Linked DNA regions of Yarrowia lipolytica. The protein of the gene in region 1 interacts with the protein of each later gene in a biochemical or structural test. Links are inferred from orthologs where the notes say so. Each region holds a gene or a part of one and is shown in the gene's direction. Other genes may lie near its edges.

What was found.
Region 2: the proteins of YALI1_E04613g (region 1) and YALI1_A03183g form a complex in vitro, tested with the Saccharomyces cerevisiae proteins (4 studies listed by BioGRID, with this or other methods). The link is inferred for Yarrowia lipolytica from reciprocal best matches to the Saccharomyces cerevisiae genes TIF35 and TIF34.

The regions. Positions count from the first base shown.
Region 1 is NC_090774.1:459,928-463,255, reverse strand, and holds YALI1_E04613g (uncharacterized protein), read left to right. Parts: upstream 1-1,918; coding exon 1,919-2,803; downstream 2,804-3,328. Other genes in the region: YALI1_E04629g (uncharacterized protein), read right to left, coding at 1-258. UniProt on the Saccharomyces cerevisiae protein: RNA-binding component of the eukaryotic translation initiation factor 3 (eIF-3) complex, which is involved in protein synthesis of a specialized repertoire of mRNAs and, together with other initiation factors, stimulates binding of mRNA and methionyl-tRNAi to the 40S ribosome.
Region 2 is NC_090770.1:316,657-319,936, forward strand, and holds YALI1_A03183g (uncharacterized protein), read left to right. Parts: upstream 1-1,706; coding exon 1,707-2,720; downstream 2,721-3,280. Other genes in the region: YALI1_A03170g (uncharacterized protein), read left to right, coding at 420-1,205. UniProt on the Saccharomyces cerevisiae protein: Component of the eukaryotic translation initiation factor 3 (eIF-3) complex, which is involved in protein synthesis of a specialized repertoire of mRNAs and, together with other initiation factors, stimulates binding of mRNA and methionyl-tRNAi to the 40S ribosome.

The DNA.
Region 1 (3,328 bases):
CCGCACCAGAGCGGCCGGGTGAATGTCACGAAACTGCACGTTGTCGTCGGCCTCGTCGGAGGCGGAATTGAATGCCGACGAGTGAGAGGCGGCTCTTGAAGTGCCTGTTGGCGGAGTATGGGGCAACGCCAAGGAATGTTTTTTCGGAGAAGTGCCTGCGCTGTCAGGCGCGCTGTTGATGCCGGAGTTGGAGTTGTTAGCGCTGCCGCCCGTGGCGTTGTTCAGAAGCGACCCCACATATTCTCGTATAGCTGCCATTGTCCAGACCTATGGGTCTCGCAAGTCTTGTATAGCTGTTCCAGCGGGGCGCAGCTAAACAGTTTATGCCAGACTAGCTCAGCTCAAGAGCTAAAAGGCGCTTGGTTTTGTGCGGCGCGTCCAGATGGAATTCCAACTTTGAGACCTAAAACACATCCGCAGTTCCAGCCGTCACAGTGCGGTTTTTTGTTCTCAGATCATGTGTCGTTCTAAGTATAAACAGTCTGTTGGTTCATTATCGAAATGTACAGGAAAGTAACATCTTCAGCACTATTTATCACTCTTTGCTAGCCCTCCATGGTCACCCTCTCGCTGTCCGAAGCTTAGACTTCCCATTTAGTGCCGATGGTTCTCTAAGAAAATGATGTACCCACCGTAAGAGACAAAAAGTGGACCATGCAGCCTCCAGTACGAGTATATTGCCGTATCAGCAATTAAATCCGCGGTGAGGAGAAGGCAGCAGCGGGGTAGATATTATCGGTTCTTGTACTGTGCCGTATGTTACGTCGGAGCCTCTCGTGCACGTGGCAAGTCAGCCCATTGTTCCTCTGCACGCGACTCCCTCTCCCCAAGGCTGATGATGATCACCGGGGGAGGCAACAGAGACCTTGCTCTGAGACAGCCCAGCCGTTGAACCCGTCCCTGATTCTTAGTAGAAAACCGTCCCCGCCAGGGCCTAGGAGGTAATATAGTAGCCACTCCTCCCACTCACACCCTGATCATTGCGTACGTGGTTACCTTGCTTCGCTTAACAAACTTTGGATTCTTATCTCCTCTAGACTCACAATCGATTGCCAACCTTGCTGCTCGTATCCATCAAAAGGCTACTTGGACACACAAGAACAGTCCATGTGCAGGTATGCGTGTGGATCGGAGGGTCAACTGACGATATCGGAGCAGTAGACTTCATAAATCTGACTTGAGACGATTTATAAGGGCGGTATAATCCAGTACCTACCTCACTTTTGAATTTACGCCAATTACTGTAGACCCAAAATCGAGGCAGCAATAGTTCTAGAACTGCTTCACTTCCGACGTTTTGCTTCACATGACACAAGAGACATTCTTCTGCTGGACAAACTGTAGGTACGTACTTCCTGTAATGTAGCTACAGTAACCTACACGTGGTGTCCTGGCTGTGCTTGTACATACTGTACAACGGGGTGATCGCAGTTTACTCTTCAGATCACCAATCTCGTCTTACAACTACGAGAACTGTACTTTACATATAGATCTCGTCGAGGGGCCGGGAGAAATATGCCATAATCCTGTAGATAATTTACGGCATCACAAGTACCGGTACAAGTATCCAAGACATTTATTTTCCCCACAGTTGCTGTATATAGCTGGACAGTGTTACATTTGCATATGACGCTACCTGGAATCGAACACACAACCATTGCTACAAAACTCGTACATTGCAGGCTGGGAGAAGTTCGAATCACGTGAAGCTAGATCTCAGATGGGTGCAAAATTAGCCCAAAACCACTGTTGAGATGAATTTTCATATAACAAAAGAAGGGTTGTTGTTAAACCCCATATGCGAGTGTCAAAATAGTCTCTGCCATCCATAATACCCACTACTTACCCAATATATCCCTTATGTACTGTTAGCCCTTCTCACAACTCTAAAGCCAGGGTAACTTAGTTGGTGAAAAATATGCAGACCTTCCATCATCAAGACACAGGTTCAGAAGACTTTCGACAGAACACAATGGACGAAAAGTGGGCCGACGACGACGAGTTTTCTACTCCCCAGATCACACAGAACGCCGATGGCACCAAGACCATCGTGACTCATCGAATGGATGATGGCAAGAAGTACAAGCGGTCCGTCACCATCAAGAACCAGAGCGTGACAGAGAAGGTGCTCAACTGTGTTGCTGAGCGATCCAAATGGACCAAGTACGGCAAGGAGCTTGGAGCTCCTCCTGGTCCCAACCGAATGACCACCACCATTGGAGAAGATATCGTCTTTGTGCTTGGCCTTAAGTCTGATCAGCCCGAGGAGGAGGTTGAGGAGGAGGAGGCAGCTGCTGCCGCCCCTCGTGTCGGAGAGGACAAGGGAGTCAAGTGTCGACTTTGTCAGGGCCCCCATTTCACCTCGAAGTGTCCTTACAAGGAGACTCTTGGTGGATCCACAGCTGCCGGAGGCATGGGTCGATCTCTTGGTGGAGACGAGCCTGCTGGCGCTGCGAAGACTGGAGGCTACGTTCCCCCTCATCTTCGAAACAAGGGTCCTGGTGGTCCTGGTGGTCCTGGCGGTGCTGCTGGTGGCCGAAGCGACGACGACGACGAGCTCACTCTCCGAGTTACCAACCTGTCGGAGGAGGCCACAGACGACGATCTGCGACGAATGTTCGGCAAGTACGGTATGATCAACCGAGTCTACGTTGCCAAGGACCGAGATACCGGCCGACCCCGAGGCTTTGCCTTTGTTACCTACACACTCAAGTCACACGCTCAGGCTGCTCTCGAGGCCATGGATGGTCATGGTTTCGACAACCTGATTATGAAGGTCGACTACTCCAAGAAGAGAAACTAGAGTGGATGGAGGATGCCACAAAAAGGGGAGACGGCCGCTACGGTTGTAAAAATAGTTCTGTTAATACAGTTTGCATGGTGAATGATATGAGCGGGAGTAGTTGTAGAGTGGGAACGAGATGGCATGGTGGATATTAGAAGTGGTTGCCATTTCTGTAATTTGAAGTTGGTCTAGCTTGAAGCTTAGAGATTAGTTCAAGGATTGAAGCTCCTCGGTTGTAACTGTTACAGGCACAGGGTGCAGCTCTACACATTTTGGTACATACTTGGTACAAGTAGTAGCTACCTATAGTGTACTTACACTGTGACTGACAACTGGTATACTTCTACTCAGGTAAGATACCGTATAGGACGGTCATGCATTAAGTGAGTAACTATGTCAGAGTCGAGAATTCTCTAGATCAAGCGCAGAGAGAGAGATTACTCACTAGCTCTCAGTAGCATACGGTACAGTGTACATACCATAATTGTTAGCAGATGGATACCAGAGGTACAGTACATACTATGAGAAGATATACTGATGGAA
Region 2 (3,280 bases), on another chromosome or scaffold:
TTTTTTCCGATTTTACCCAATTTAATACGAATTAATACGAATTAATTAATAATTATGGATAATCCCCTTTAATTGAAATTAAACCTACTCCCAACCGCTTCAGACACGGCTTTCCGAACCGGTGAGTTTGTTGAGTGAAGCGAAGTGGATCCGAATCTTCAAGTAGGATGAATGATAAATAGATCAACCTGTCACTTTGTAAAATGATAAAGTGAGTCCTTCCGAGTAGAATGCACTTTTCGGATTTTCCACACCTGCTCTACATCACGAGATATCAACCCACCCATGCACAACCCCGCAACTGTATGCTCTCCCCAAAGTTAATCCGTCGGATCAACTGTGGTGGAGCCAACACTAACAAGCTACCAATACGATATAAGGGTTAGTTCCCGCTCTCCTTCATCATCATCTCTCCATCAATGTCTGTCAACGCCACGTCTCTCTCTTCATTCAACGCCAACCACGAGCTCTACGACAAGGCTCGGCCTTCGTTCCAGCAGGATGCCGTCAAGTGGCTGATTGACACTGCTGGGCTGCACAAGGGCTCCAAGGTGGTGGAACTGGCCGTGGGCACCGGCAAGTTCACCAAGTCGATCATCAACAATGGCTATGATCTGGTTGCGGTCGAGCCCAGCGAGGGAATGCTGACCTCCTTCAAGAAGAACTTCCCCCAGGTCGAAGCCAAGATCGGATCATCCTACGAGACTGGCATTGAAGACCAATGGGCCGATGCTGTCATTGTGGCGCAGGCATACCATTGGTTTGCCGACCACAAGTCGCTTGAGGAGCTGCATCGAATTACCAAGCCTGGAGGAAAGCTCGTGTTCATTTGGAACATTGAGGTGCTAGACAAGCTGTCTCCGTCTCATTGGCAGAAGATCTCCACCGAAAAGGTGTGGTCATACGACGTCAACGTTCCGCAGTACCGCCATGACAAGTGGCAGGATTCTTTCAAGAACCAGACGTGGTTCAAGATGCCCTACCAGGAAAAGATTCTGCCCTACCAGCTGAGTTACTCGGACGAGGACATGTGGAACTACTGGGAGTCTCGCAGTTATATCACTGCTTTGGACGGGCCTGAGAAGGCCAAACTGAAGGAGTTCATCGAGGGTGTTGTTTCCAAGGCTCCCAAGGAAGAAAGAGATTCTGAGGGCAAGCTGGTGGCCGACCGAGGTACTCATGTGGTTGTTGCCACGCGAGTATAAACGAGTAAGAGTACAGTACGAGGAGAAGATTGAAGTACTAAAGTGAACAACTGAGTAATGAGAAAGTATGTGCTCCATCATTGAGGTATTTGAACAAGTAGCTAAGCATAGCTTGCCAGGGCGGTCATGGGCGATCAACGTATCAGCAAGACTTGTGTTTTAGTTCAATTCTAGCTGCATGTTCTTTATGAACGAGCATTGTATTTAGATAGTCTACCTTTAGACTGTGTATATTTTCAATTTATTTTAAATTTTTTAAATTTCTAATTTTTCGTTTTTTTCATCCTTGTTACGGGTATGAGAGGAATTTCGACGGAAAAAAGAAACGCAATAAATGAATTATTGTGACTGATTTGGCCACAAATGGACATCTGATGCTCTTAACGCGCTCGATGCAATCCCTCGGGTCCCTCTGAGTTGCTGCGCTTACTCAGCCAAATTTAAGTTCCAACACTGACATAAAAAAAGCGATGAAAAATCTCTTACCAACACACCATCACAATGCGACCTATTCTACTGCAAGGCCACGAGCGACCCCTGACCCAGCTCAAGTACAACCGGGAGGGCGATCTGCTCTTCTCCGTCGCCCGAGACAAGACCATCTGCGTGTGGTACTCTCACAACGGCGAGCGACTAGGCACTCTCGAGGGTTCTGGAGGAGCCAACTTTTCTGTGGATGCTGATCCCACCACCACCATTGTGGCGACTGGCTCTGCTGACCAGACTGCGCGTCTGTGGGACATCAAGACCGGCAAGACGATTCACAGCTGGAACTTCAAGACCACCGTCAAGCGTGTAGAGTTTTCCCCTGATGGAACCAAGCTCATTGTTCTGTCTGAGAAGATGATGGGTTACCCCGGTGGCATTTCCGTGTTCAACGTCAAGGCCGACGTGAACGCCACCCAGGAGACGGAGCCTATTATGGATATTAAGCCCGAGGAGGGCGCCGACAAGTTTTCGTTTGCCGTGTGGTCGTACGGAGGCAAGTACATCATCACAGCCCACGCTGACGGCTCTCTGTCCAAGTACGACGGAGCCACCGGCGAGTTCATTGCTTCCACACAGATCCACGAGGAGAAGTTCCCCATCACCGATCTGCAGCCTTCGCCAGACAAGACCTACGTCATCACCAGTTCCAAGGACAAGACCGCTAGACTGACAGACGTGGACTCTCTCAAGCTGCTCAAGACCTACAAGACCGATACTTCCATGAACTCGGCATGCATCACCAGCAAGAAGGACTTTGTCATTCTGGGAGGAGGACAGGACGCCAAGGATGTTACCACCACCTCTTCTCGAGATGGTAAGTTTGAGGCCCGATTCTACCACAAGATCTTTGAGGACGAGGTTGGCCGAGTCAAGGGCCATTTCGGTCCCCTCAACTGTGTCGTTGCCCACCCCAATGGCGGCTCCTACGCCTCTGGAGGAGAGGAGGGATACATCCGAATCCACCACTTTGACCCCTCCTACTTTGACTTCACCTACGATGTCGAGCGGTTTGCTGCTAAGGAGTAAATGGTAGGTGTTATAGATGGATAAAAAAGAAAGGTCTGCGAAGCCAGCTCTTTAGTATGTAAGAGAATGAGATAAAGAAAAGCCTGCAAGAATGTACAATGAGAAATTTGACGAAGATGTTAGCTGTTGTGGATGACTGGTGCTGAAACTCGACAAAGATAGATATAGAAACGAGAGTCGAATGCAGTGTCTAGTGTAGCTCTGATTGAAGGCAAGTTGACTAGAAGCTACAAATAGCTAAGGTCAGAAGACTGTCGCAGGGTACAATCAACTGTGTGAAAGGTCAAGAAACGATTCCACTTAGTATTTGAGGTGTATTTGCTGTGATATACACATATACTATCGTTGGTGATGAAGAAACTCATAAACAGGAGAGAATAGCAATATAAAACATCTTCTTGCCATAAACTTGCATCATGAGACACACGTTGGTGCACACACTACCCACTCATATCTGTATATGTATCTTTTATATGTATAGCGACGACCGAAACAACAGTCCAACTCGTGACTGGGGTTCGTTCTTACTCTGTGAAATCACATCCTCCTAGTTCTTACCC